4 linked regions of the Arabidopsis thaliana genome follow. The protein of the gene in region 2 purifies or fractionates together with the protein of the main gene of each other region. This does not show direct contact. Each region holds a gene or a part of one and is shown on either strand. Other genes may lie near its edges. The genes, in order: AT5G16880, UBA 2, SPDS1 and ALAAT2.

Region 1 (6,936 bases), 3.6 Mb from region 2:
ATTCAACAGGATATCCCGGATCTTCGTTCAACCAACGATTCTCTCTCTCGAACACCATCTCATCGAGCTTCCTCACATCATCATCACTCTCGCCACGCACCGTGTCGTCTCTAACCGGTAACGAGAGCTTCGGAGCTTTATATATTAAGAAATGCTCAAGCGAGGTAACGAAGGACGTCTCTGGTCGGTCCGACGGGTTGGGATTGGAGATGGAGGCTCGGGAGGAGGAAGAAGAGGTGTAGAGGATGACGAGTAGAGAGACGGTGAAGAGAGAGCCGATGAGGATTAGGGTTTTGGATCTGGGTCTGGAGGAAGTAGAACGATGATTTTGCTGTTTTCCAGACATTGTGAGATCTGCTTCTTCGAAATCTGAGTTCGATTACAAATTTCTGTTACTCAGTTGTTGCATATTACTATGAATGTGGAAAGTGACGATGCGCTTCACTTAACCGCGATTGCGTCTGCGACTGTAAACGCTAAATTGAAACAAAGTTTGTGTTCAAATGTGCACGATAGCAATTGGATAGATGTCAAAATGTGTTTGATAGCAGAAACTAGAATAGAATGTATTTCAAATCTCATGTGCCATCATAACAAATCTCCTTTATAAACCATCACACAAGTCAAAGAGATCTCCAAACACAGATTACTTACATTGAACCTGTTCATTCATACTACCAATTAAACACCAAATACATTATAAAAGATTTATTATGTCGCCTGAAAGTATCCGTCTCAGAATCGAATGAGATCGTCGTTTTTGGATGAGGACTGCTCCTTTTTTGGGTCATGATCTGGATTAGTCGAAGAATCACAGCCGTTTTTCTTACCGAATATCATCTCATCAAGATCATCCATCATGTCATCTCCACTACCACCCCCTCCATGGAATCCACCTCGAACACCAGAAGATTTTCTAACCAGAGATTCTTCTCTTCCATGAATTGGAGAGTCATCGGGCTCTTCAGCAACGGGAATCATGGCTGGTTCATGTGAGGTTAGCGGTGCAGAGGGTTTGTTCATCTCCTCATACTTAGACAGCGTTTTCACTAGCTCGTCGTTCACATTCAAGGCTTCGAAAAGAAGGGCTTCGTTTTCACCTGCTGTTTCAATGATTCTTTGGACAGTGGTTTGAGATTGACGACATTGTTGTACAAGTGTCGTTGTTAAGTCATCCTGCAAATCAGAGAGATAATGAAAATATATCGCCGATATCCCATGTTATATCCATTATTACATTAGAATTACAGGAAATGATGCCTAATAATTCCGAGTCAATTTACCTGTAAAGCATCATGTTGAGGCGAGGAGGACAGAACCGTGGAAAGAAGTTCAATGCTGTTTCTTGCTATATCAAAAGCTTCCTTTGTCTGCTCAGCAGTAAAGCTTCTTACAGGCACATCATACTGGATATGTGCAGGTTCATGCACATGCTGAGGAAGATCAGCATTCAGTTCTGGTGCTGGAGTTGACCGAGCAGGAGTGAAAATAGGTGCCAAGCTTTCGTTGTCTCGTCCAGGGAAGCGAATACCTCTTGCTTTTAAGCTCTATAGTATAGGAAAAAATATAAAAACATTAAAGACCTAATCATAATGAATTCTGACATCAGACCTCACAGCTTTTCATTTTTCAATCAATTCCTGCAACAAGCTAGTCGATTGAGCCAATTCATTGAAACAATAGTCATTTGTCTGTTTTGTTCAAAACCCATATGCTTTGGCCAAAACAGTTCAACTCAACATAAGATAGTGGTATCTTCAATAAAGTATTGTAAATGAAACTGTATTGTTGAATTTAATAGCGTAAAATTATTTGGTACCAGGTCATAGTTACCTTATAAGTTTCTTCGAAAACTGGTAGGTAGCGAAGTTCACTGGTTGATTCTCCCCAAGCTTCAATCAGCATCAAAGCTTTGTTTCGGTTATTAACAACTGTTTGTGGATCATCAATCAGCTTTACCATTTCATCAAGGACTCTCTCTGCTGCCACCTCTGAAAACGCCTTCTCACAGTTCTTAACACACGTCTCGAGCAAAACCAAGGCAAGGTACTGAATCCTCGGCTGCTTCATCATAATCCTCTTCTTTATACCACGGATCAACTCAACGCTATTAATTGTCTCTTGATTTATCATATCACAAATTTCCAAATTCATATCCCAGTCAGGTTCCTCTAGATTCTCAGTAGTAGCATCTTCGACTATTTTATCAGTTGGGTTTGGACCTTGAAAAAGTTCCTTCACTTTAAAGCTCATTGAGCTCACACCAGCACTGATCTTGTTGCTCACTTCCGAACCTCCGATCTTCAGGCGCTCACCAAATGCGGTAACTTTGTCCATAAGATTGTCACCCATCTTTGCTGATACTCAAAAACCTGTAAATGAAAAACAGCAAGAACCTGGAATTGTACATACAGAACAAACCAGAAAGCAGCTGAAACATCAACTTGTTCAAGTATCCTTCAATGATACTAAACAATAACGAGCACGAAAGGAAATACTAACAATCAATAATATACACCTACGAATTCTGCAGAGATTCATACAAAATCAAATACACAAAAAGGTTCAAACCCGGTTAAACCAGGTTTTCAGATACGATCTCTTCGATCATACAAATATTCTTCTCGATCCAACAAAATTTGCTCAAGGAAACTGGTTTAACCAGAAATTAAACAGTTTTTTACGGATGAATGTAATTAGGGTTTGCTGAGAAAAACCGAATTCGATATTCGAAGATCAAAATTCGAAAGAAAATAGAAAAATTCGTTTTGGTCAACAAAAACCCTAATAAGGAAAATAACATTTCATATGATCGAAAAACCCAGAACTAGATCGATCAACACGGAAACAGTAACCAAAAAACAGCGAAATCACAAGTAAATTAACGCGAATTTCTACCTTTGAGATTGAACAAAGAGATGAGAAGCTCGAAGAACAAAGCTCGATCTGGTAATAGAAGACGGAGACTAGAGAGGAAAATCTGCGACAAGGTCAATGCCCGTTGACGCCGTACAAATCCTGAAGAAGAAGAAAACTGCGTTCCTTTTTTAAGTGTTTGGTCGTGGGAATTACTTTATCCTGACTATGTTTCCCTTCCTTTACGCTAAACATTATTTTCAAAAAGATATGCTTTTTTATTTTTATTTTTTTCATATCAACCAATCACGTTACGCAATTTCATCCAACGAACCAAAAAATAATCGATCATTAAATGTTTTTTTTTTTTTTTCTTGCCAGTAAAATCTTCACGCCGGTTTCAGGAAAAAAAACTTCATCATCGGAGCCGTTTCTCTCTCTCGAACTCGTAAGCTTTCTTCGATTCTCTTCTTTAGACCATTGATGAGAATCTTAATTGTTCCCTTTCTACTGTAGAAACTTGAGCTAGATTACGTTGAGGTAATTCAATTTTAGATACTCAAATTCAATCATTTTGTTGTCTGTAGGATTTAAGTATTTGAATCTTGCCAATGGATTTGACGTGGTTAAGTGCCCTAATTGTTGGAGCTGCACTTGGATACTGCATTGGCACTCGCCGTTCCAAACCTGTTGTTGCTGCTGTTGATAAGGATATCAAAACTCAATCCTCCAAAAGTCCACTCGAGATTGAGAAACTCGCTGATATTCTCGATGATTTCAAGATGGTAGTTAGCTACATTTTTCTCTCTACTGTTATGGAATCACAAAATTGTTGAATTGAGTTTTGTATACTCAGGTTTTGGTGGTGAGAAATGATCTTAAAATGGGTAAAGGAAAGATTGCAGCTCAATGCAGGTGATAAACTAATCATGCTCTCTTTTACTATTTTAAGTGTTTAATTCATGTTTATCATTCTTACATTTGAGTGTTCTTATTCTGATTCGTTTTATTGGTCTGCATTTCTGCAGTCATGCAACTTTAGGATTATACAAGAAGCTTGTTCGTCGAGCGCCAAAAGCATTGGACTGGTATGCCTCTAAGTCATGATCAATTCCATTTGTTACTTAATATATGGATTGAATTAACAGTATAGGTTGCTATTGCAGCTGGGAGGAATGTGCACAGCCAAAAGTTGTTGTGAAAATCGAGGACGAGGACGAGATGCTAGAATTGCAAGTGAGTTTACTAAAACAAATTGTAGTAGACTGTAAAGTGGATTTTTTTTATTGAACTATATTTTGGATTCACAGCTTTAGTGCTGTTGCCAAATTGATCTTCACGGGCTTTGCAGGAGTTGCCAGATGTTAGTTTCTTGATAATTTCTGAGTTCTGACCATATACATGAATACTTAAGGGGAATTTGAGATATCATAGAGCTTATCTTGATTTTTCCCATTTCTTATATCTTGTATTGACTGTTCACAAAATTGTCAGGAAAGAGCTAAATCCCTTAAACTGCCTACCCATATCACCATTGATGCTGGAAGAACACAGATTGCCCCAAGTGAGTTTCATAAGTTCCTCCCCTCTTGAACTTGAAATCCCTTGGTGCTTTAAACTTTATGATTGCTAGTTAATTGCCAGGGAGAAAGCTCTCTTGATTCAATCTTCTTTCGTAAGTATCATTTTCTGCGAAAATGTGAATCTAATAATACGTCATGTTCTTTCCAGATTCAAGGACGGTTATGGCTATTCTTGGTAAGTTGTTATTTTTAAGATATGTGTTTGAAAGTTAAGACTCTGATGGACAAGTGATGAGTTTGAGAGTTGCAAATCACACTTACCCTAGAGAAATGTACTAGTTTATTAGTTCATGACTTCTCTTGATTGCTTGGTGCTTGTCCTTGACCCTGAATGGAATCTATAGTTCATAAGAATCCAAAATATGAAATGTAAGCTCAAAAGTTGACTCGGTCAGAAGAGGGTGTATACTTTCTGCGTGGTATCCAAATTCATATGCACCGTTCTATGACCAGGAGTTAGAGATTCTTGTAGCAGAATTTGTTTATCGGATATTATCAGCATTTCTTAACACAACATTCCAACGCTTATAGATTTTACTTCTGCAGGACCAGTCGAAGTTGTTGATGAAGTAACAGGTGGACTAAAGCTTCTTTAGCAGATTCGAATTTCGATATGACATTTCTTCAACCTGATCTCTCAGATGGACCAAGCAGAAAGGAGAGACATGAACTCCACCTTCTCTGTTCGCCCGAGGTTACCTGTGAGAAATCTGTAGTTGTTACGTATACTCGTTCCTGATGATGACGAAATATTCATTTTAAAACATTTTCCCCATTTTTCATGGGCATGTAGCATTTCCCTCTACCAATGGTGATATCATCTTTTTTTGCTGGATTTGTATTAGAAGTATCAAAAGCTCGAGCCTTTTTTGGCACATTGAGAAAATGGCTTGTTCTAATGCCAGTTCATGGGAGTGTTGGCTATATGAACATTTCAAATGTAACAACAGATCTTGTTTATTGAAGATAAACCCATGGTATGGAGTGTGATTATCTACCAAAAATAAAGAAGAAAGCTATTCATCTACAAAATTTGCTTAAATTATATAATCTACATGAGGTGTTTAACACAGTGCTTATTATCCCTTTCTTTGTCCCTTTAGATCGTTCCTGAAATCTGCTGTAGCCATGTCAAAACCCTCAGGTTGCTTCCGTGTTTGGTAGAGTGCATAGAGAGAGCATCATCACCAGTAACCTTTGCATGAACACGATCCATTTTTGAAATGATGGAAGCGACTTGAGTCCCTCAATATAATATCATGATCAATGATTCTGGACATGTATGTGAATGCTGTATGGCAATCACCACATACCCGTAAATTCTTAGTAATCCTGATAGCAGCACCTTGCGGAGTTGTTAGAATACCATATGCAAGAGCTAACTTCTCACTATGCTCGAAAAGAAGATCATCTTTCTCTTCATCGTCTACATCATGAAGAGCAAAGCCTGTTTCAGGAACATAACCAATGTCCTTGATGCGTTGCATGTGATCTAAGAGGACCTGGTATATTTCCTTAGCGTGTGGATGAGTTTTATCACCCACGAAGAACGTAGTAGTTCCTTTAATTCCTTCAACCCAACTACAACCAGGTCTTTTCTTAACTCCTTTATGTCTCATCAATGATCTGATCCTAGTCACATCTTTCCAACGCCCTGCATTTGCATACAAATTTGAGAGTAATGTATATGATCCATCATGATTAGATGCTAATTCTGTTATTTTTTCCGCAGCGTACTCCCCGAGTTCAACTTTTCCGTGGATTCTGCAGCAACTGAGAAAAGCAACCCATACCACAGGAGGAGGCTCCATTGGCATTTCTTCAATGAGACGCAAAGCTGCATTCAACCGGCCAGCACGACCTAACAAGTCAACCAAACATGCATAATGCTCCGGACCAGGACTAACCCCAAAAACAGTTTTCATTCTATTGAAATACTCCATGCCCTGATCAATCATTCCTGAATGACTACAAGCATATAATACAACAAGTAATGTAACACCATCAAGCTTAAAACCTATTCTCCTCATTTCATCAAAGATTCCAAGAGCTTCTTCTCCATAACCATGCATACCATAACCCGTCATTAGAGATGTCCAAGTAACTTCATTTTTCGCCATCATATTGTCAAATACAAGGCGGGCATCACTGATGCTTCCACATTTTGCATACATGTCTATTAGACAGTTTGATACGAACAGCGGTACTGCATTCTGCTGGTTGCGCAACGCATAAGCATGAATCTGCTTGCCAATTCTTAGTGCAGCCAAACTGGCACATGCCACGAGGGCACATGATATGGTAAAAGCATTTGGTCTTGTTTGGCAATCTTCCTCAAACATCTCAGATAAAAGTTCGAGAGCTTTATTTGCATCCCCGTGCTGGGAGTATCCACCTATCATCACAGTCCAAGTCACAACATCCCTTTCCTTGGGGGAAAGTGAATCAAACATAGCACGTGCAGTATCAACCTTTTTGCACTTAGCGTACATGTCAA
Region 2 (8,840 bases):
ATTGGGTAAAATCATTACTCATGTCATGAGTGTCTTTTGTCTTCTGTAATTGAGGTGTGAGTTTTATCATCACATCTTACATTATTGTAGCAATGACCCATCAACACAAAAAAAAAACAAAGACTTTTTTTCTTTCTTTTTTCATTCTGATGAAAACCCATCAAGAAAGACTTTTGAAAGCTAAACCAGAAAGTAGCTTTTGAAACTTTATTCATCAAAATTGGGTACCCACACGTTAACCAAAGAAGAAACCTGAAAACGAAGAACCCATTAGCCACTAAGTTTTGTTTTGTTTTTGTTCTCGTACCCGATCTTATCTTGATCAGAATTCTTCTCTAAATCCTCTTTTCAGATTTTTGAAAGATCCAAGTTTTGTTAGCAATGAAGGGAATGAAGGAAAGATTGGTGAAGAAAATCAAACTCATCACCACTGTCAAGACGTTGAAGCAAAGCTTAACTCTTCATAAGAGTACCATTGATCGCACAATCCATCATCTAAGAGACGAAATAGTCGCTGAATCTGGTCAAAGCAAAGGTTGTGTTACACCAACACTACTAGAGCTTGAGGATGCAGAGGAACATAATCTTGAAGAAGAAAGAGGGATTCTTCTGGAGTTTAAAGAGAATTGCCCACCCGGAGGAGAAGATTCGGTTGTATTCTACACGACGGGCCTGCGAAGTGTGAGGAAAACATTTGAAGCTTGCAGAAGAGTGAGATTCTTGTTGGAGAATCACCAGGTGATGTATAGAGAGAGAGACGTTTCCATGGATTCAGAGTTTAGAGAAGAGATGTGGAGGTTGCTTGGTGGGAAAGTTACCTCTCCGAGGCTGTTCATTAGAGGTAGGTACATTGGTGGAGCAGAAGAAGTTGTGGCATTGAACGAGAACGGGAAGCTGAAGAAGCTACTACAAGGAATCTCACAGGTTGATTCACCTTGCGAGTCTTGCGAGAACGAAAGGTTTTTGATATGTTCTAGCTGCAATGGAAGCACAAGATTGCTTGCAGAGCATCACGATGAAGAGAGTAGTAATGATAATATGTGGACAAGATGCAGAGAATGTAATGAGAATGGACTTGTGAAATGTCCTCTTTGTACGTAGTTGCTGTTATAAGCTAATAATAACTATCTGATTTTTAACTTTGTAGTAAATGATGTGTGAGAAAAACGTTTTGTATTAGGATTGTTTAATCGTATTATGTTTGTAATGAATAAGTGAAAAACACCAAATTTGAAAATTTAGTTCTAAATTTTAAGAAGTTAACTCTATTCTCATACATCAAAACTCTCTCTATCTCTGAAACTCAACTTCATATCCCAAGAATACAGTAATTATTAAAAGCTTCTCTCGTTGGGGACGTTAATTAAAATTCTCTAATCAGGCGAAGTAGACTGATACGAGAGGGATATCAACGTCAGCATCATTATCATCTTCACAAGCGACTACAACATCCACGTGACGTCTATAAGCAGGCAATTCAACCCCAGCCACGTCTCTTGCAAGATCCACCACTCTTCTGTTCATCCTCTCTTTATGCCTTGAGAACATACTGTTGTACAGTAAACTGCTTCCGCAAGATATGCTGTATGCGTTTAGCCCTTTCTCTTTTAGCCAGTCTAGCAACTCCCTTAGGGTCGGGTTTCCCCTCATCACCCACCGGTCCCAAACAGTCCAGCTTTGGTCTTGGTGCTTCACCACTTTAGGTGGAACCGGCTCAGCCATGGAGAAGAGCGGAAGTGCTAAGTTAGCAAATGTGTTTCTGTAGTCTTCTACTTTGTGTGACCCGTCTAAGACCTTGTACATCTCAAGGCAAACAAAACCTGTTGCCATTGCAGTTGATGTCGCAATCGCGGGTATGATTCTTCCGGCTATGAACTTGGCTTTAAGCTTGTCCACCTCGGGAACACTGTAGTTCCTTGCTCTCATGTTGGCTAGCCCAGCGATCATATCCATGTGGTAGTTGGTATCATCGTCCTAAGAACAGCAAAATAATGTTAGTTTGTTGCTCTTATAATTCAAATACAGAATCTGAAAGATACTTGGATACATTTATGATTCACCTTTTCAAACTGGATTGCCTTCATCCTGAACTCTGGCTGCAAGCTCATCCTGCACCGCACTAGTTTTGCGTTTAGTTCATCGATTACTGCTGCATCATCGACTGAAGCTGTAGACAAAGTTGTAGCCTTCTCATCTGTCACAATAGTTGCATCTTTCTTCGGCTCAAAGTCGGGGACAATTACTCTTTCCACAGCCTCGGCTAGTCCTGCTCGGGTTTTAGCCCACTCAGGAGTAGGGATTCCGAATGTCTCTGCTCGCAAGATAGATGCAGCCATGACAAAGTTGATATGGCTCAGGTCGGTTGAGGAGAATTGGAGTGGGCGAGGAAATCTCTTTGGGGCAGACCAGAACGGAGCTCCTGTACTAGTAGCAGCATCCTCAGGAAATGTGTAACATAACTGCTTCACACGGTTGGCGAAGTAGTCCTCAAACCTGTAAGCAAGCAATTATGTAAAGAGAAGAAAATCATTTTACATATAGTCTCAATGAAGGGTGTGGGCCAACAGAGAGTACCTCAGACGAGCCCAGGTTATGCAATCCTGGAATGAATTGCACTTTTCTTTCTCGAGGCACTCAACAACACGTCCCAAAGTATCCCTTGCTTGGGCATCACCAGCAGTTCTCATCGCTTTCATGTATTCAACAGGATCTGAGAGGTATGCATTAACTTCAGCTGGTGTTTTCTCAAGCAAACCCTCAAATTCAGAGCGAGCCCATGTTAAGCAATGATCAATGTTGTGAGGAAATGAGTGCACGGTGCACATTGGAGCCTGTTTCTCTGGTGGGTCTCTCGAGGCACCATAGTTCTCAGTGAGGTGAGGGATAACCATCTGTGTGTTGCACTTTGCACCTAGGGTTCCTGACTCGAGGAGAGGCTTCTGGAAATACACACACCTTGAATCAACATAAAGCCTTGCAGTGACATTGTCCAAAGCGTTCACCACAACTGTCAAATTCTCCCAGAAGCTGTCGTCAAAGACATTCTCGGTCTCAGGTCCAACACGATTTTGCAGAGCATCAATGTTGAGGCGAGAATTTATTCCAGCTGCTGCTGTTGCGGCAACTGTGGATTTAGCCTGTCCTATGTTCCAATCTCGAAAAAGAAACTGACGACTCAGGTTGCTCTTCTCAATTACATCATCATCGGTGACAGTTAGCTTCCCTTGGGTGCCACATGACACACCCATCAAAGCCAAGTTCTTTAAGAACTCGCATCCAAGAGCACCAGCCCCTACAACAAAAACTCTGGCATCCTCGAGTTTCTTCTGAAGAGTAGACCCAAATACAGAGATCTGTGCATCGTAACGGCTATTTTGTGGTCTAAACTCTGATGCATCAAGAGGTTCCTTGGGGAGTGACTCCACCGAATCAAAGTAAAAGAACTGCACAAATAATGCAAACTAATTACCACATTACCAAGTATAAAAGAAATACTACTAACAAGGGAAGAGAAACTTTAGTCCTGGTATAGGACTCATGTAGAGTAAATGCCTGTATAACATAGATGAACAGCATTGCTCAACAAGTAGAAGTTTAACATACAAAGACCGAACAGATGAGCCCCTGAAAAACCAAACAGAAAAGTCTTTACCTGAAAGATAGGATGGAATTTCCCAGAGCATGCCTTGACAACCTCCTGCCCAACAATGCCACCAAACATTGCAGCCATAGGATTCAGAACAGCCCTGGATCCAAAGGCCAAATGCCGCAACAGTTTAGAGTTGACATCTTCCAACCTTGCATCACCCAAACCCTCATTAATGTCAACTGCAATTTCCACTAGTTTCTGAGCATCTTCTTCTGAACCAGCAAACGGAAATCGGCCTGCTTGAGACGAAAACCTATCAAGTGCTTGGAATGCTAAGTGGAGAAGAGGTGGTCGGTCAAACTTTGAAAAGTCACTTAGAAGAAAGTCGCCTGGATCTTTAAGTGCTTCTCTAAGAGGTTTAAAGTTCAACACCTTTGGTTGTTTAACCTGAGTCACAATGCCACCCTTCATATATTGCCCATAGCTAGAGGTGTCTTCCTCCAGGGTAAATGAAAATGGCTTGACATTTTTTATCTTCCTTGGTTTTCCATCATTTAGCTCTGTCATTCCCTCAACTTCAGAGAAAACAACCAAATTTCCATCTTCAAACTCGAGCCTCTCATCATCGACACACGAAACAAATCCAGGATTTTCATTGCTAACAGAAGCGATGATGCCAGAGTGAGGTTCCTCCCCATCAACATCAAGAACAGTAAAATGAGGTCCAAAATCACAAAACAAAGACCCAAACAGCCCCCTAACATCAGCCTTGATGAATGCAATAGGAGGCTGATGACTGTGACAATAATCATCAATCTCTGTCGCTTTCTCAAAAGAGATATCCACAAATACCACAACCTGCATCAAGGAAAAAAAAAAGAAATCAACCACTAAAGCCAAACATTCTGTACTTTTAGTAGAAACGTTTTCATCCACGTTCAGTCACCTCTAATCTCTTTTACAGATAATTATGTCCATGAATCATGATAGTATTATTAACAACTAGAACAAGGAAGCAAAGACAAACCAAATAAAGGAAGGGTTTGGATACCTGGAAATCAGAAAGCTGCTCTTTGGTTAACTTCCCAGTCAAAGTTGAGACAGCCACAGCATTGTTGAGTTCTTGCAACTTGTGAACAGAAGCAAGTGCTCTATTCTTACCAATGTCCTCCTCCGTGAAAACAAAGTTACTAGATAGGTCCCATAGCTCAACCACATTTTCATCGTGAAGGGTCACTGACTTCACACCAGCTAGAATAATATTCTTGGCTAAATAAGAAAAAAAAAAAAAAATCATCCATCAGAAAGAAGGAAATAACGAAGAGAATAAAGAGCTATACCAGTCATTAGTTCATTACAAATCTATAGTGAATATTGAATAATCCTTCCATTATATAATGTGTCACTAACTCATTAGAAAATCAGGATTAACAAGTTAATATACCAATTTTACAATCTCAACTTCAAGTGCCCAAATGTACACACAACATCAAAACAGCTTAATCACGAAATACGTTTGCTCAAGCTTGAAGCTCTTTAACAACCAGCAGGACAAGCACAGGAATAACATGCAAGCAGAAATTAACAACGAAAAGTACAAAAATCGTTACCAATCTCAACACCAAGGCCCTGCATCCCAGAGATGAGAACGTTGGAAGCGAAAAGCTTCCTCATAGTCTCACGGCCGTAAACGGCGAGCTGTCTGCTATGAAGATCTTCATCGATCTCCTGATTGTTGGAGTTGTCGTTACCAAACTCCGCCATGCTCATCACCGTATCGTTACCACCGATGCTGTTGTTCAAACCGATGCTACTGGAGTTAGAAGCGTTAATCGCAGAACCATCAGCTGACTCAGTGTGATCGATCCGTCGCTTCTTCATCGGCGAAGAAGCAGATGCGATGATGTTCTCCTTAACAACGAATGGTTCCATATAGAGTAACTGAAAGAGAATATGTATCAAATAAACAGAAGAAGCTTCGAATAACAAACAAAGACAATAAATGAATTCCGATGAGAAGGTTCCTAGAGCTAATCGATGAAGGAATCTGAAGAAGAAACGAGAATCGGAGGAAATGAAAACGAAACCGTACCTTTGAGAGAAGATCGGAGGCGATAAGCGGCGAATTTGTTGTTAAAGTAGAAAGAGAGAGTATACTAAGCTTTTGGCTTTGTAGGTTGTGTAGAAAGAAGCGGCGGTATATAACAAAAATTGGGCGATGATTGTTGGGCTTTGAAACTATTTGTGCTGAATTCAGAATCAGCCTGTGTTGTGTGGTAAGTTTTTTCGTTTTTTCAAGTGGACCAGTTTAAGATAAATATCTGGTTTTGGTCTTGTAACATTGAACCGGATTTGAGTATGCAATAGACCAAATTTTAATTCAGGTTAGGTGTGATTGAATTTAAACTTTGAAATTGTTAATCAATCAAGTTTTGTTTTTTATTTGTTGATTGATAAAGAGAGAGTAGTTGTTGGATATTTGAATGTGTGTCGTACTTGCTAATTCCTAAAGATTAATAGACATTTCAAAGAAGTGTAATAAGAGTGAAACTTAAGCATAATGTGTGGAAATGTACCTTATGAACTCAACCATTTTGGTGTGAGCATTTGTGTTTGGAAAATGATATGGGGATGCTCTCTCTATCACTTATACCAACAAACACAATCTATGTTTTATGTGTGATTTCTAAACGAAAAAAATAATATTAATGGATTTGTAGTGTGACTACATTAGCGTGAAAAAAAACTCTTGTATCTTGAGAATTTGACCAACATTGCTTGACAAGTATATTCACGGTTGTATGATAACGATGAAAAATGTCTCACATTATATTTCTTGTGTGAATTGGCGTTGGTAACAAAGATTGACAAGGACCCCTTAAAAAAAAAAGTCAAGAAAAACATTCAAAAGACATAGAATTTCGGTTGAACCGGATTGGTCAGCTTAAATTACTAACGTATGGTTGGTTAAGCAAGCTGAGGAAATGTGTCTCCATTTCGTGATTTCTTCTTCCCTCGCGGGGATTTAGTCTTCTCTCTTCCAGCAGAAACCAGAAGAACTGTTCCTCGCTTACTACGATCCCTAACCGGACGCGAAATTTCAAGGTTCGTCCTCCTCTTAACTTCTCATCAGTTAATGTCTCTTTTAAGTTGAATTTGACTAGTATGATTCCAATTTCAGATGATAGTTAGGGGATTTTATCTCTCGGATCGATCGTTTTGGGTTACAAGAACTAAGATAGAATCAAATGTTTTTGTTTCTCCATTAGTTAATTAGTCTAAGAGATATAGAACAAAAAGTTTCGCTTCTTTCTTGTTATCTTTTGATGCACAGAAAGGTCATGAAACCTAGAACTAGGGGGAGTGATCAATGGTATTTGTAGCCAAAACTAAAAAAAAAGTTTGTTTACCTCTACTTTGATCAATTCGATGCTAGATCATTGTTTATTCAATGTGTGGTCCTTTCTTCACCCAATTTCTCCAAGTTTCCAACTCATGAATACTTGTAGTTTTTTATAAAAAAGAGGAAACCTTATTGGTGCTCAAGTTATATGAGTGATGATTGGATTCACTATCTTACTTTCCACTTCTATTAGTATTGAGATAAGTTTAGCTACAACTTTGTCAGTTATCGTTGAATCTAATTTGATTTGTGAATATTCTTTAGTGTTTTTTCATCACATGGCCTCCTTTGATGGGCCAAAGTTCAAGATGACTGATGGCTCCTATGTTCAGACTAAGACCATTGATGTTGGATCATCAACAGATATCTCTCCATACCTTTCACTTATAAGAGAAGATTCTATCTTGAATGGAAACCGAGCGGTGATCTTCGATGTGTACTGGGATGTGGGGTTTCCTGAAACTGAAACCAAAACCAAAACGTCAGGGTGGAGTCTGTCATCGGTGAAGCTGAGCACTAGAAACTTATGTCTCTTCCTTCGACTTCCTAAACCTTTTCATGACAATCTCAAGGATCTGTACCGTTTCTTTGCTTCCAAGTTTGTCACTTTTGTTGGAGTGCAGATCGAGGAAGACCTGGACTTGCTTAGAGAAAACCACGGTCTCGTGATAAGAAACGCGATTAACGTTGGGAAATTGGCTGCGGAAGCTCGTGGAACTCTGGTGCTTGAGTTTCTTGGGACAAGAGAATTAGCGCACAGAGTATTGTGGTCTGATTTGGGCCAGCTGGATTCGATTGAGGCCAAATGGGAGAAGGCAGGTCCTGAAGAACAACTTGAGGCTGCAGCCATTGAAGGGTGGCTCATCGTCAATGTTTGGGATCAATTGTCCGATGAGTGATTTACTACTTATCTCTGTGATTGCTTCTTTTTTTTTTTGGTTCTTTTGATGGAAATGACTTTGTACCTGAATCAAAGTGATCCTTTGTAAGTTGTTTGATGTGACAATCAACAATCACTAAACAAAAAGTGAACAGTTTCAGATTCTTTAACGTTCGACATTGTGTATGAAACAAACTATATGTTGGTTCTGCTTTTTCTGATATAACTGAGATTTTGTGCTGGTTTGATTTAGGTCTGGTTTTGGCTAAAGATTAGAACAATTTTGTTTTGCTAAGAACAAGAGTGCAAATGGATGTGTGTAATTAGAAAGATAAAATTTGGTGGAATCAAATATAACCATTTAAGTTGAATGGAATAAATTGAATATTCCACTCATTCCAACACTTACAAATTATACTCCTGTTTAAGCTCACCAAAGTGTAAGAGAGACACTAATTTAATAATGAAGGAGAGATGCCAAATTTAAGACAAGAGGACCCCCAAAGATATTCAGGTTTCAACTGTAATAGCATCACCTTCCTATTTATGACTATATTTGTTCTGTCTGTAATTTATAAAAAGAAAGAAACAAAGAAGAGTGAAGTTATGTGATCAAGAGGCGCAGAGAGATAGATCTTCCCACCTGTCTTCCTTCTTCTGACACCGACACTTATCCGTCTGTCACCCTTTAAACCCTATCTTTTTCTCAACTAAGCTTGTGTTTAATCTCACCATTAATCTTGTCACTACGCATCATCTCATCTCCTTCCTTTATTGGAAACTCCGACTTTACCTGGAATCGTACCCGATTTGATTTCACTCGAGATAAAATAATTAGTGCAAAAAAGTTCTCACCATCTTTCTCCGTCTTGTCGGTCACGTTTTTGTCCTCGTAGCTAAAAAAATCAGCTTTCTACAACTCCGTAAGGTTGTGACTTTCTGTGCTAATCCTCTTTTTCTCTTTTCTC
Region 3 (6,728 bases), on a different chromosome or scaffold from region 2:
TGTATTAGTTCTTTTCTCCATGTTATGTTTGATTTTCTCAGTCTACAGAACAAATACATTATGTAAATTGATTCTGATGTTACTAAGTCTCTTTGTAGAGTCAATGCCGCTAGTGTCATTGCTAGGGTGGAGGAACTCATGAAAGATCACTCGAATCTGCTTTTTGGTTTCTGTGTCTTCCTTTCAGCTACAACGAGTTTTACCACGAAGCTTAAGGTATAGAGTGCTTATAGGTACCATTTGATATTTCCTATATGTTCACTTGCGGTTTAAGTAACAAAATTGTCCATATGCAGGCAAAGTTTCAGGGCGATGGTAGTCAAGTAGTTGACTCAGTTCTTCAGATAATGAGAATGTACGGTGAGGGAAACAAGTCCAAACATGATGCGTATCAGGAGGTAGGCTTCTTGGTAGGATACTTTGTGTTGTGTGTTGCACTTTCTTAGTTCTTTGGTTTCATTTGCTTTGTTATCTTTTGCAGATCGTTGCACTTGTTCAGGGTCATGACGATTTAGTCATGGAGCTTTCACAAATTTTCACTGATCCATCTACTAGAGTCTAGAGATGACTAAGGACGGTACTGGAAGGCTTCTAACGAAAAGAGAGTGATTTTAGTTTTCTTTTGCAAACATTTGAGTTTGGTTTGATTAACATGACATTCACAAATATGCTATGCTTCTATGTTGAGGTATATTGTACAATGAATTGGCGTATAAGAGACTAAAAGAGAGTGTATAGTTTCTTTTGTTGAGGTTTCTTTGATATCAAATGTTTTTTCACTAAATAAATATTTCCTCGTTACCAAGAAGACATGAGATTTGGGCCGTGTAGATATTTTTTGGGTCGTGTTTGCATAAGAAACTGAGAGGGGAAACACTAAAAAAACAGAGTTCAGCTAGAAACAAAAACAGAGAGGAAGAGAGCCCAAACTTACGCCTGGCCAAAAAATACAGAGCAAAACAAACAAAGTCAAGTAATTCTAATAACAAATATATTTTCTAATTTAAGTAAACCTTATATGAATTACGAAATTGATAATAAGATTTTATAGAAAAAAATTAAATTCAATATTTATATCTCTAATTTAAATATGTTTTGTATATTTTTTAAAACAAGATTTGGACTAAATTAATACAAATATCTGCATTCTAATCATAAAACTTTCTCATCATATGTCTTTAATTTATAGAAAGCTTTTAAATTTCATTTTCACAGATTTTACCAATTATATACTTTTGCAACTAAAAAAACCAGAAGACTGCAGTGTAAAAGCTAATGCTAAGATTTTACTAATTATCTGCTCAATACAAACACAAATCGATAATAAAGCTCTTTACATACAAACACCGGATTCTACTATCGATGATGCGGATGCGGTTACATACATCAATGCTGTGAAGGAAGCATTTCATGATGAACCTGCCAAGTATGACGTGTTTTTAAAGCTCTTTACTGACGTTCGCGTCCATATATAGATATGAGTTGTTTTCTCTCTTGTTATGTTTGGCATGCTCATCATTTCATAAGTACCAATCCACAGAACAAACACACTACGTGAACTGATCCTGATGTTACTAAGGTCTCTTTTTGTAGAGTGTATGTCGCTAGTGACATTTCTAGAACGAAGGAACTCATCAAAGATCACGAGAATCTGCTTCTTCGTTTAAATGCCTTCCTTTCCAGCTGAGACTCAGAGAGTCCTACATCCCAATATTGAGCAACGGGCTGCATCTGATGATAACAAAAGAAGTTCCTTGTAGACTGACAAAACATAAGCACCTATGTGCTTTGATTGAGCTTTGAACCCACAAGAGCCAAGATTTAGCTAATACTACATATGAACCAATTGCTTCCTCTACTAGGAGCTGTACCAAATCTTATTATCACTGTACAAAGTTTCATATTGTTAAAAACTAATTTACACAAGATTACTTACAACAAATAAAGTTAAAACAAAAATAGATTATAGAGTTTGGAATTGGTAACTAAACCAATTGAGAGAACATGGAAATAACATTCTCTAGTCTAGTCCGTCCATGTTTGGTGGTGGTACAGTATGAGAATTTTGCACGTGAGAAAGCGCGTGTGCTAAAAAGCGAGTGAGCATTAAAGACACGAATAAAAAACCAGACATAAAAAGCCAAAAAGTTTCTCTTTAAAAAACCATTAAAAAGGACCCAAAAGTTAAAGAAACGATATATTCGAGGCAAAAGTAGAATTATCATCACATAATAATTTCGCTACGTTGAAAAAAAAGTGAATAAAAAAATGAAATGATATTTTCAGTTGTACGCTCTTCTCTTCCTTATATCTTCCGCTTCACTTCACACCAAAATCACCACCTCTCACAAACCCTAGTTCCTCCTCTCTCTCATTTCTCGGAGATATTCACCAGAGCAATAACCATGGACGCTAAAGAAACCTCTGCCACCGATTTGAAAAGACCGAGAGAAGAGGATGATAACGGCGGCGCCGCTACCATGGAGACGGAGAACGGAGATCAGAAAAAGGAACCTGCTTGTTTCTCCACTGTTATTCCTGGGTGGTTCTCTGAAATGAGTCCTATGTGGCCAGGTCTTGTTTCCTTCCTCTCTCTCTCTCAAAAAACAAATTCTGGGTTCTTAAATTAAAAAGCTGATTTTTTTTTTCATTGGTTTGATGATGCAGGAGAGGCACACTCATTGAAGGTTGAGAAAGTTTTGTTTCAAGGGAAATCAGATTATCAGGATGTTATTGTTTTCCAGGTAACAAAAATAAGAATCATTTCTCTGTTTTTTCCTAACTTATTTGTCTGTGATTATACTTATAAAGACTTGTTTTTTATGTGTTGGTTAGTCTGCAACATATGGAAAAGTTTTGGTTTTGGATGGAGTAATCCAACTTACGGAGAGAGATGAATGTGCTTATCAGGAAATGATCACTCATCTTCCTTTGTGTTCTATCCCTAACCCTAAGAAGGTATACAATCAATCCTTTTGCTAGATTCTGTGACCTTGATTGTGTTGTGTTGTGGGTAATCAAAAGTTTATAGCTTTGGAATGTAATGAAAGGTCTTTCTTGAAGTTTGCATTTTTCTTCTCCGGTAAAGTAGGATGATGAAATCATTAGTTATGGAGAAATAGAGAAACCAGAGTTCCTTTTATTAGATGTGTATATAGAAACTACTTGAGTTGGCATTAATGATTACATTCCAGGGTGGTGATAGGAATGTCCACTAGAGAAAAGGTTCATGATCACCATTTTTTGCTTTTTATATGTACAAACTTTGATGGCCTCCTGAGAAAAAAAGGTACATAGTCCCATGTTCCCTTCTGGCAAAGTTAGAGAACTCAAGTAACTTTATTGGGTTATAATAATGATTCGGAAGAAACTTATTTCAATGGGCTTAAATGATTAGTCTTTAGCTTGTTATTGGGGGACTTGGTTCAGAAAAGGTTAGATAATCAAGCTTCTTACATTCAGAATTGCTTTTGCTCCCAAGTATCAGAATTGGGTAGTCTAACTATTTTGGGTTATGGTAAAGTGGGTCAGCTAAAAATGCTGTTTTTGCTTTTAGCTAGTAAAGCTATAAGCCAGAGTGTATCTGATCAATGCCTTTCTAGTTCTTCCATAGGTTTTGGTCATTGGAGGAGGAGATGGAGGTGTCCTGCGGGAAGTTGCACGCCATGCTTCTATTGAGCAGATTGACATGTGTGAAATTGATAAAATGGTGGTCGACGTGAGTGGTCACTTACTTTTCACCTTTCCTTCTTCTCTATTTCGATAGATAAATACCTTGTTATCTAATTTGTTTCCACCTACTGGTAATTTTCAGGTGTCTAAGCAATTTTTCCCTGATGTAGCAATTGGATATGAGGATCCTCGCGTGAACCTTGTCATTGGCGATGGTACAATACTGCCGCTTTTTTCTCTCTTTCTGAAACATTATGTAGTTATGTTGAACACATTTTGCCGTTTCAAACTGATCGGTTGGTGAATCGTTGCAGGTGTTGCTTTCTTGAAGAATGCTGCTGAAGGATCATACGATGCAGTTATTGTTGACTCTTCAGATCCAATCGGTAACTACTACAATCAGATGTCATCAGATGTCATCAGAAACAACATTATTCCTTACTGTTATGTTGAACAATACTAAAAAGCAGCCTTTACTTATTGTCTGTCAGGTCCTGCAAAGGAGCTGTTTGAGAAACCCTTCTTCCAATCTGTGGCTAGAGCTCTTCGTCCTGGTGGAGTTGTGTGCACTCAAGCTGAAAGCTTGTGGCTTCACATGGACATCATCGAAGACATTGTTTCCAACTGCCGTGAGATCTTCAAGGGTTCTGTGAACTATGCTTGGACCAGCGTTCCAACATACCCCAGGCATGTTTAATGACCTTTAACATCAATCTCTCTCCTTTTTGGGTGATTATAACTTAACCTGAATCACACTTTTCTTATTTTCAGTGGGGTCATTGGATTTATGCTTTGTTCAACTGAAGGACCTGATGTTGACTTCAAACACCCACTGAACCCAATTGACGAGAGCTCCAGCAAATCAAATGGACCTTTGAAGTTTTACAATGCCGAGGTAAGATAAAAATCTCTCAGTATACCATTTCATGCGGTCTACACACTCGAATCATTAGCTTATGCTCTCATTTCTTGGGGGTTTCAGATTCATTCAGCTGCATTCTGCTTGCCTTCTTTCGCCAAGAAGGTCATTGAGTCAAAAGCCAATTGAAAAGGGAAAGAAAACTAATCTGGAGGATCGTTGAATTTATCAAAAAATAAAAGCTTTTTACAGTTTTTAGAATGTTCTGTTGTTTCACTCATGTTTCTGTAACACAATGCAAGAGCGACTATGTCTTCTTTTAGCATTACACATTCGCATAGTAGCAAATCCTATTTACAACATGTTCTTATGCTTTTGCGTTGAAGCTGAGAAGTCTAATAACCTTTCTGCTTTTATACCATTTATTATAAAGATTCACACTTTGAATTGATCTCAGCCAAAGTCTCTTAAGCAGCAGGAGTTTTAGCTTGTTCTACATCACGCTTTTTTCTCAAAACCATAGTTTTACAATCATGGTAACAGGCAAGACAAGTCACCCATTTAAGTAAATTGCCAACACAAATCAAGCCTACATAGAAGCCAGTGTACATCACTCCATTTCCACTCGCACTGCATTTGGAGTATAAACATGGCATCCTTGTCGCAAGACCGAAGACCAAGAACATTAACATCAACCAGAGGTCACGCTTCTCATGTCCTTTTCTATACCAACCTGAAAGAGACAGAGCATCTCCTCCGTAGATGCCTTGACCATCTTCGTCTTCTTCCAAGACCGAAACAACCAAACCCATGTTCCATCCGGAGCTCCACTTACTATACTTTGCAGTCAGAACTATAAATAGAGTACATTGCATCAGAAGAGTCAGAGGCACTACCACGTTGAATAGACCCGTTGGTTGGTAGTGGAACCCTTTGTATTCGCGTGAGAGATAAGGAATGGATACGTAGTTGGTTGAACCAGAGAGAAACTGAAGAAAAAAGAACAAGAAAAAGAAAAGAAAAACTGAGGTTGACCAAAGGAGGACATAGAGAGATGTGATCAGACAACCTCCTACTCTGTTCTGACATATTTTGATAGATCTCTCTACCAAATAAAGCAGCCCTAACGGCTCTTCCTTGGATGTGTAAACAATCGAAGATGCTGCAACGATCGTGGTGGTGGTAAGAAGGTCAAGAATGGTGTAGGGGAAGAAGTAGAGCAGAAATGTCTGGATCAGCCATGAAATCAGATCATTCTTTTTCTCTGATATGAGAATCAGATCATTTTCCGGCAAGTCTTCTCCCAGAATGAGTAGTTTCCAGAGGAATTGGGAAGTGAGATAGACGGTGGTTTGGAGGGAGAGCTCAAAGAAGATCAAGAAAAAAAACAGTGGGAGAGAGCAGAGGCATAGGAAGAGCAAGAGATTGATGTTACCAAAGAGTAGCTTAAGAGCTCGTTTTAGTAGTTCGATGACACTTAGCTTCTCTTCGCTATTCGTCTCCATTTGTTGATCTCTTTCTCACAATTGAAGTAGAAGAAAAAGGGTAATCACAGATCTGTATGTAAAGTAGAACATATATTAATATATGGTTAGCATCCTTCATTGACTTGTTGACTTATTCTACAAGCCACTGTATGGTAATGTTTGACTAGTAGGGTTTTACTAGAAGTGTCTTCTGATTTGAGAACTATTAAACTTCAATTTGTTATTTCAAGTAGAGAGCAAAAGCTATTGGTGATAGAGAAATTGTTAAAGATTTGGTCACAACTCACAAACAATTTCTCTATGTAGCAAAAGCTTTTGACCCAATCTCCACGTCACCCTTTTTCCTCAAGACCCTTGTGTTACAATCATGGTACCAAACAACACAAGAAACCCATTTAACGACATTCCCAACACAAATCAAACTTACATAGAGACCAGTGTACAACACTCCATTCCCACTCAGACTTTCACTGCATTTGTAGTATAAACATGGCATCCTTGTCACAAGAGCGCCGACCAAGAACACTAGCATCATCCAGAAGTCACGCTTCTCTTGTCCTCTTAAGTACCAAGCTGAAAGAGACAGAGCACTACTTCCATAGATGCCTTTACTATCTTCTTCCTCTTCTAAGACCGAAACAACCATACTAATGTTCCATCCCGCGCTCCACTTGCTGAACTTTGCAGCCAGAACTATGAAGACAGTACCA
Region 4 (7,987 bases), on a different chromosome or scaffold from region 2:
AACTACCTCAATATTTAAGATAAAAACATGAACTTTGAAGATCTTAAAAGGCTCAAAATTGGAAGTTTTCACTTCTGAAGCAAAAGTAGTATAAATAGTTAGTTATTAATTAGGAGTTGAAATTAGAGATAGAGTTGAATAAGCTCATCGCTAACTACAGAGGGAGAGAGAACACCAAGGTCAGTGAAGAGGAGTGTTAGGTACTGAGGCGGAGTATAGTCTCGAGCTGACCTCTCTACTTCCACCTTTGTCGGAATCTTTACACCAAATTCGATTGGTCTCAACGCCGGTGCCATGTCCTTTTGGTCTAATGGGTAAAGCCTAGCGAACTGCAAATACACAACTTTGTATCATTAACCACTCTCTTACTATGGGATCTTATAAAACCGTTTCAATTACCTTGTAACTCTCAGCAGCAACATAGACCGGTTTGTTCATGCTGTGTGCCACAAGTGCGATTTGGTATGTTCCCATCATGTTGATAATACCGCCACTTTCTACAACTCCATCCGCCCCGACAAACACCATGTCTACCTCGTCCATACTATACGCCACAGCTGAATCAAGCAGTAGTTTCACTGGGATATCGAGCTTCGATAGCTCACTCGATAACAGAACTCCTGTTCCATCCGGCCTCCCCTCTATCATTTTTTCACCAAAAAAAGTTAGCGAGAGGCTACTAATACAACAAAATCATAAAGAGACAGGGTTTATAAGGTCAAGACTATGCAACAAAAATGTCTCAGAGAAACCAAGAAACATTAAGCGGATACAACTCAAGTTCCAATCTAAGCTTGTTGTTTAAGCGAACCTGTGCAGAGAACTCGAAAGAGCTTGTTGTTTTGTGCAGCAGTCTTAAGTATTTCCAGAACAACTCTAGAGAGTCCATGAACCAATATGGTACAACCATCGAATATAAAATCTTGACTAAGCATTGCGATAATCCTACGAGCCTGCGCAATAACCAAACCTTTATAAACCCTCTTCTATCAAATACTAATTGATCTACTTCATTGATATATGTACAAAAACTACTAAATATGAGCCAGAAGCCATAAAAGGAAGTACCTTGCAAGATATTTCCCCAAATTTCTCAGCACGTTCAAGAAGACGAGACTTAGCTGAATTGAAATCTTCATATTCCAAAGCAGACGTTCTCGTAACGTATCTGATAAACAAATCGCATCCAGCTGTCAAAGAGATCGACGTTTTGTCCCACGACTGCCAAAATTTGAACATTTCTTAAATCAACAAAGCCCACAAAATCGAAGAATGAACAGAAAGTGAAAAATGAATTCTCACCTTGAGTGTATCAGAAGCCTTTTTGAGCTCAATTTCAAGCTCCATCATGGTGCTCGCTTCGCTCGCACGAATAACAGCAGCCAAAGCTCGTATAGCCGCGACGGCTTCAGCCAGATCCGGTTGTTTTCTCCAGTTATTGAACTCTTCAATTACATTAAACGACTTCTCGTTCCCGAGATCAGTTACGGATAAGTCATGCTGGGCATCGCCTGAGACGCCGCCAACGGCGGCTTGAGCTTGGGCTAGCCAGTCGCTTGTAATGACACCGTGATGCGCCGCGCGAGTTTGGTAATAAGCGGAGATGGAATCAGGGTTTTGAAAAGGACCTCGTGTTGTATCCGCCATTGGAGGTGAATTCGAGCTTCGTCGCTCGTCGAGAATAAACGACGGTGATCTTCTCCACATTGATTTTTTTTTTTCTTGAGAAAATTCTTCAAAATGGAAAAATTGAAGATAATATACTGTCGCTTTCTCCAGAAATATCATATGAAAAATAAATATAAGGCCCATTAATAATATAAGGCCCATTTATAAGCCCAATAAATTTACTAATTTTCATATCTTCATATGACATGCCATGGAATGGAAGTACAAAATATTCTAAAATTAAATTAGCTGATCACAATTGCCTGATCAAATTCAAAACACAAGTTTTCTTTTTTTTAATAACTCAAACTGATCACACTTTTCTTCAAAAGGGTCTTTAAGTTCATCTTCATGGTCAGGTCCTTTTAGTTGCGGAACTCGTCCATGAAGCTCTTGTGGAACTCTGTCAGACGATTCACTATCGCTGGAATCTTGTCTTCTTGTGGAAGTATTGTGCATCTAAAGTGCCATGTTCCAGGAACCTAAACCACAATGAATCCAAAACCCATTATTCAAGTTCGATCCTTTTGTAAGACATTTAAAGTTATGAAGATTTGGTTATATTTTACCTGTCCAAAGCCAGAACCAGGGACTACAACTACACCAGTAGCATTGAGAAGGCGTTTGCAGTAGAACGCATCTGGTGCAGTTTTTTCAGCCTCAGCAGCTTCGATAGCCTTTTGAGGAAGGTTAATTCGCGGGAAGAGATACATTGCTCCTTCGGCTCTGTTACATGTAACACCTTCTAAACTGTTGAGAGCGTCTTCCAAAGTCTGCAAGTTCATTTTCAAGCTTGTGACATTATATACAAAGAGACTGAAAAATGTCGTTAGAGGGTATTGTAATCTTCGACTAACCTTTGCACGTTTAGCCATGGATGAGAGAATTCCATCTCTTTCTGCCATGTATGAGTCATATGAGTCATCACCAGGCTGATCAAATACAATATTAGACTTTTTAGTCATAATCTGTTGCAAGAACTTAGCGAAAACCGATTAGAGAGAACTAGGGTGTTACCTTGGGTGGGCTCATGACAAGGCTAGCAAGAATTTGACCAGAGATGTTAGAACAAAGATTCACAGAAGCCATTTTGTATATCTGTTCTCTTACATCAGAAGTGAATCCAGTAACCTCCATGTAACCTCCTCTTTTTCCACATTCTCCATAATATCCTATCAACAGAAGAATATTAAAAACAAAAACCCCATTTTTTAGATGACAAGCATTGGACAGTAAAAGTTGTTCTTTTACCTTTGGAGACTGATTGGAACGAGACTAACGAGATATCTTTTTCTCCATAGCCCAAAGACCGAGCCACTTTCTTGAAAGAATGGAACTTTTTGTCAGGGACGTAAACATTTTCTTGGTAGACTTCATCAGCTAAAAGAACCAAACCCTCTTGCTTGCAGAAATTAACAATGTCACGCTGGTTTTCTTCCGCAAGAACCTAACCAGAATAAGAACGCAAGATTAGAAGAATGTTACATTTTGTTAGGCTAGTCTTGAAAATCTGTTTGTACCTGCCCAGTTGGGTTACCGGGGTTTATGACAACCAAGGCCCTTACAGAGATGCCCTTGGACCTAGCTTCCTCTAGTTGCTTCTTAAGGTCAGATATTTCCAGTCCCCATCCTGTTGCTTCATCAAGATAGTACGGAACCTAAGAAGTACAAATTTCAAAAACTTGTACCAAAAAACAACATTACTCCATGATGATTATATGAACATACCAAAGATCCACCATGAAGGGCAATTGAAGCCGAGTACAATGGATACTGAGGAATCGGGGAAAGAATACCATCTTTCTCTGAGCTCAAGAGAAGTTGCATCATCATGTGAACCTATAGAGTAAAAAACACCAAAAACACTTAGCATGAATCCTTTAAAAGAACTTACTCTAACTCTATGAGATAACGTTTTCGTTTTGATTGTTACCGCTGGACTTGCACCATCAGTCAAGAAAATATCATTTGGATCAGCAGGGAAACCATCACGTGCTTCGATTCCAGCTGCAATTACATCACGTAAACCCTTGATACCCTGAGGCAGAACAAAAAATGAAACATTCAGCAACATAAGAACCATCTCAAGAAAGGGTTTAGGACTTTTAACTAGACTCTAATAACAAACCTGGCTATGACTGTAAGCCCCAGTTGCTCTTCCGGGAATATGGTCCAAAATCCTCCATGCTCGGTCAATTGAATCGGTACTGATAGCAGAGTAGAAATCAAATGTTAAGCAATCTTAAACCGTGAGCATACATGTCCTAAAGCTGAAATATAGCAAGGAAAACCTCACCTGAACAAACCATGGGTTTCAGACTCATCCAAAAGACTTGCGTGGTCACACAATGCGAGAACCTGAGGCATATAGATGATAGACGTTATATCTCTGTGGCTGATATGACAACCAAACTAGTACCAAAAACATTCACTTACCTCACGGAAGAACTTTATAGGCAGCTGACCAAGAGATTGAGGATTCCCAATGTTGCAATAGATTATCTGCCAAAAGTAATGAAGAATTCTAAGTTCCTTGCACAAAGAGTTTGAGAACAGGTAACATCAACACTAAACTAATCATAAATCCGTCAAAACTGCCGATAAAGAAAGAGATTTTACCTCATCAAAGGGATAAGCATCCTTATTAGTCTTCAAGTCTTCTTGTAACTTCTGTAAGATGGAAGCAAAAAGCAAACAAAAATCAATTAGCATTAAAAACAATTTTACAGATTTTGTTCTTGGTTTTACAAGACAAAGCACATGCATCTCTGACCTGAGCAATGTTGACAATTTCTCCTCGAACAGCATACTCACATTTCAGAACCTGTTCCCCGGAAAAGAAAAAAAACTCTTAGTTAACAATAAAACCAACTTCTCTGTAATATAAAGTACAAAGAAGTTATGCAAAGCTTGTCGATTTCATCGTTGGGAATCACAACGAGAAGCAAAGGATAAACCTTTGGCGTTAAATCAGACAACCACAGTAAAAAATTGAAACTTTTTTACTAAATTAGAAACAAATCCAGATCAACCCTGAAACCCACAATTCAAAAACGCAATAAACCAGCTAGAGAATTAGAAACCGACCTTGGGATTGATGGAGTCAAGAGTAACGGGAAGAGAAGAAGTGGAATCAGAAGCAGACATCTCCGAAGTAGAAGAGAAGAAACGAGACAGAGCAGGAGGAGAAGAAGCAAGGGGACGAGGTTGAGGAGAGAGAAAGCTTGGACTTTTGTGGTGATGTTGACGACGAGAATGGTCGACGAGACCTTTAGCTTGGTTAATCAAGAATCTCCGCATCTGTGAATCAGCTTTATACTAGGAACGTGCTCTTTAAGCCCTAGGATTGAAAATTCTCTCACGAGGAAACAAGGGTCCCAATATCCAGTGCCTTGCACACCGAATTTTGCCTTGTCCTCCACGCTCAGAAATTGCTTTTTCGTTTTTTCTTTTCGAAAATCTAATTGATGAAGATATTTGTAGGGGTTTTTTTTAGGCGGCTAATTTTGTTGATTTATCTGTTAAACACACGACTAATCCCAAAAAAAGACATGTCTTTTATCAAAAAAAGATGTCTGAAGTCTATCTTCCGTTGACTTAATTATCCAAAAGGACCAAAATTGAATAATCCAATCACAGTCGTAATCTAATTTGGGGATAAATAGATACTTATAAAACCTACAGCTAATTTGAAAGTTATAAATTTTTAGAAATCTCTAAATTTAAATAAATCACAACAACATGTAGCAGCACATTGCTAACGATGAGGTTTTTTTTGGGCTACATAATTGGGCCCTAAAAAGGTCGGTAAAATCGTGATTTAAAGCCCATTATTTGTTTATATCCACGTCAACAAAACGATATCGTATTAGGTTGGACGAGAATAAAACCCTAGGAATTAGAAAATTTGTACAACGTCAAAACATCGAAGATTTTGATCCAACGTATACCAAGAGTTTCGGAGACGACGTCGTTTTGTCTCTGCGCCGCGTTCTTAGTCTGAGCTCACGCTTGTTCGTTTCTCCTCTAACGTCAACTGTGTTTTTGCATCCTCAAAGGTTTGTGATACACCTTATTGTTTCTGTTCTTTTGTACAAGCTTCACATGGATTAGTGTAAAGTCTTAGAATTGGGACTCGGAATTTATTGTTATGTTTTAGGTTATTCAACCCAGTTATGGTATCGTTTTGAAGTAGAGGTAGAAACCCTAATTTTTGGGGTCTGTAAATTTGGAGAAAAAATTGAACCTTTCCCTTTTTTGTTATATTGTGTAATTTGGGACTAATAGTTCTTCGAAGCTGAGTTTTTTTGTGTGTAAATTTTGTAGGGTTTAACATAGTTGGGGCTAGGAATTTTCATGGTTTCTGTTGGTTCTAAATCATTGCCATCTAGGAGGCACAGGACCATTGAGGAAGATAGCTTGATGGGTGAACGAGGAAAGTCTAGTAACAATCACAGTGAAAGGAATAAGGGAATGCGTAGGAAGGACCATAAGGGTAACCGTGGATTTGATGTAGATAGCAGCAAGAAGAACCAATCCGGTGGTGCCCCCAATGTAAAGCCAGCATCAAAGAAACACTCCGAATTCGAACATCAGAATCAATTTGTCAGGTAAAGGAGATTTTTAACCAAGGGCCTTTGCTCTAATTTATAGTCGAAATTTTGTTGTTGTGAGAAGTGGTAGTGATTTGGGTGTATCTTTTTCAGGAAAGAGATTGATCCAGAGACTTCAAAGTATTTCTCTGAGATTGCCAATCTCTTTGATAGTAATGAAGTTGAATTAGAGGAACGTTCAGTAATATGTGGAAATGCCCTTGAAGAAACAAGAGGGAGGGAGTATGAAATTGCTACAGACTATATCATAAGTCATGTCTTGCAAACTCTACTTGAGGGATGTGAACTTGACCAACTCTGCAGTTTCATACGAAATTCTGCTAGTGTGTTCCCAGCCATTGCAATGGATAGATCTGGTTCTCATGTCGCAGAGTCTGCTCTCAAATCCTTGGCCACACATCTAGAAAATCCAGACGCCTATTCTGTTATTGAGGAGGCTTTGCATTCTATATGCAAGGTACTTTATACAATTTTTACTGGCTTTGACAATCATATTAAGGTATCCAGATTATTGCTTCTAGTCTAGTAATTGACCTCAATTTTGATGGTGAAATATTTCCCCTGGTCAGGTGATTGTGGATAATCCTCTTGATATGATGTGCAACTGCTATGGTTCGCATGTACTACGAAGGCTTCTTTGTCTTTGCAAAGGAGTCTCTTTAGATTCCCCTGAGCTTTATGGCGCAAAATCATCAAAAGCTCTGGCCAAACGTTTGAATCTGAAGATGTCTCAGCTAGATGACAATAATTTAGAAATCCCTCATCAAGGGTTTCCAGGTATGCTCACGTACCTTTTATCTGGGCTATTAAGTTGTAGCAGAGAGGACATGAAGTATCTTCAAGTCGATCAGTATAGCAGTTTGGTCTTACAGGTAGGTTTTATGTCCCTGTCTAATCGTTTATGTCATTTTCAAGCAATTTCTTTAGTATTGACTGTTATTTAGTCTCTCTCCCTGATTCACGGTGATTCTAACTAATCTTCTCTTGACAGACGGCTCTCAGACTAATGCTGAAACAAGATGAGCAGTTGCTTGAAATCATTCCGCTTATTCTGCGCTGCAACTCTACTAATAAAAAAGTAGAAGGGTTTCATATAGAGACTAATGTTGCCAAAGAAATTTTAGAGTCGATGAAGGATAATTCATTCAGTCATCTGGTGGAGGTAACTGAGTCTAACCTCTGGCTGCTCTGACTGAGTTGTTTATACCAAGATTCTGTACCTTGCATAAAACAATTGATGATGGACGTATTGCCTGCTTTAGACCATGCAAAATATTATCTATAAGGATTGCTAGTTCTCTGTTTGATTCCATGCTGTAATTGGAGTGTTAATTTTCTTAGTCATCTCTTTAAATGCGTTTGCATGCCATTTTCAGGTTATTTTGGAAGTGGCCCCTGAAAGTTTGTATAACGAAATGTTCAACAAAGTTTTCAAGAATTCTTTATTTGAGCTTTCAGTTGATCGGTGTGCAAATTTTGTTATTCAAGCATTAATCTCCCATGCAAGAGACCAAGAGCAGGTATCTTTATCATACACTTCATCTTTTTCTGTGACATCAAAATTTCATTCCAGGTCTTCTTAACTTCGAATTTATTTGTGCTATTTCCGTGAAGCCAGTAAACTTACGTTCAATTGATTTTGTTTACAAGATGGGTATTATGTGGGAAGAATTAGCTCCAAGATTCAAGGATCTTCTTGAGCAAGG

Evidence for each region.
Region 1: the proteins of UBA 2 (region 2) and AT5G16880 fractionate together in Arabidopsis thaliana (co-fractionation; one large-scale study listed by BioGRID). This does not show direct contact.
Region 3: the proteins of UBA 2 (region 2) and SPDS1 fractionate together in Arabidopsis thaliana (co-fractionation; one large-scale study listed by BioGRID). This does not show direct contact.
Region 4: the proteins of UBA 2 (region 2) and ALAAT2 fractionate together in Arabidopsis thaliana (co-fractionation; one large-scale study listed by BioGRID). This does not show direct contact.

What each region holds. Positions count from the first base shown.
Region 1 is NC_003076.8:5,545,074-5,552,009, reverse strand, and holds AT5G16880 (Target of Myb protein 1), read right to left. Parts: upstream 3,094-6,936; 5' UTR 2,899-3,093; exon of another isoform or gene 2,373-2,898; 5' UTR 2,353-2,372; coding exon 1,834-2,352; intron 1,548-1,833; coding exon 1,284-1,547; intron 1,177-1,283; coding exon 736-1,176; 3' UTR 501-735; downstream 1-500. Other genes in the region: AT5G16890 (Exostosin family protein), read right to left, coding at 1-346; AT5G16870 (Peptidyl-tRNA hydrolase II (PTH2) family protein), read left to right, coding at 3,468-3,641, 3,713-3,771, 3,885-3,944, 4,023-4,092, 4,351-4,420, 4,588-4,614, 4,986-5,035; AT5G16860 (Tetratricopeptide repeat (TPR)-like superfamily protein), read right to left, coding at 5,624-6,936. UniProt on the Arabidopsis thaliana protein: Might contribute to the loading of the ESCRT machinery.
Region 2 is NC_003076.8:1,966,920-1,975,759, reverse strand, and holds UBA 2 (ubiquitin activating enzyme 2), read right to left. Parts: upstream 5,801-8,840; 5' UTR 5,682-5,800; intron 5,531-5,681; 5' UTR 5,522-5,530; coding exon 5,200-5,521; intron 4,859-5,199; coding exon 4,641-4,858; intron 4,448-4,640; coding exon 3,653-4,447; intron 3,444-3,652; coding exon 2,575-3,443; intron 2,494-2,574; coding exon 2,061-2,493; intron 1,975-2,060; coding exon 1,378-1,974; 3' UTR 1,233-1,377; downstream 1-1,232. Other genes in the region: AT5G06470 (Glutaredoxin family protein), read left to right, coding at 382-1,101; AT5G06450 (Polynucleotidyl transferase, ribonuclease H-like superfamily protein), read left to right, coding at 7,271-7,891. UniProt on the Arabidopsis thaliana protein: Activates ubiquitin by first adenylating its C-terminal glycine residue with ATP, and thereafter linking this residue to the side chain of a cysteine residue in E1, yielding a ubiquitin-E1 thioester and free AMP.
Region 3 is NC_003070.9:8,418,005-8,424,732, forward strand, and holds SPDS1 (spermidine synthase), read left to right. Parts: upstream 1-2,405; coding exon 2,406-2,574; intron 2,575-2,667; coding exon 2,668-2,744; intron 2,745-2,835; coding exon 2,836-2,958; exon of another isoform or gene 2,959-3,613; coding exon 3,614-3,718; intron 3,719-3,814; coding exon 3,815-3,887; intron 3,888-3,986; coding exon 3,987-4,058; intron 4,059-4,163; coding exon 4,164-4,359; coding exon of another isoform or gene 4,360-4,363; intron 4,364-4,443; coding exon 4,444-4,567; intron 4,568-4,654; coding exon 4,655-4,720; downstream 4,721-6,728. Other genes in the region: AT1G23810 (Paired amphipathic helix (PAH2) superfamily protein), read left to right, coding at 99-216, 297-398, 482-562; AT1G23830 (uncharacterized protein), read right to left, coding at 4,999-6,036; AT1G23840 (uncharacterized protein), read right to left, coding at 6,317-6,728.
Region 4 is NC_003070.9:27,230,618-27,238,604, reverse strand, and holds ALAAT2 (alanine aminotransferase 2), read right to left. Parts: upstream 5,131-7,987; 5' UTR 4,969-5,130; coding exon 4,756-4,968; intron 4,493-4,755; coding exon 4,442-4,492; intron 4,339-4,441; coding exon 4,288-4,338; intron 4,171-4,287; coding exon 4,105-4,170; intron 4,027-4,104; coding exon 3,965-4,026; intron 3,876-3,964; coding exon 3,797-3,875; intron 3,707-3,796; coding exon 3,563-3,706; intron 3,508-3,562; coding exon 3,397-3,507; intron 3,327-3,396; coding exon 3,189-3,326; intron 3,116-3,188; coding exon 2,920-3,115; intron 2,841-2,919; coding exon 2,686-2,840; intron 2,601-2,685; coding exon 2,526-2,600; intron 2,442-2,525; coding exon 2,238-2,441; intron 2,151-2,237; coding exon 2,034-2,150; 3' UTR 1,816-2,033; downstream 1-1,815. Other genes in the region: AT1G72340 (NagB/RpiA/CoA transferase-like superfamily protein), read right to left, coding at 123-329, 400-641, 812-953, 1,069-1,221, 1,303-1,788; PUM23 (pumilio 23), read left to right, coding at 6,025-6,278, 6,375-6,738, 6,851-7,153, 7,273-7,443, 7,658-7,801, 7,932-7,987.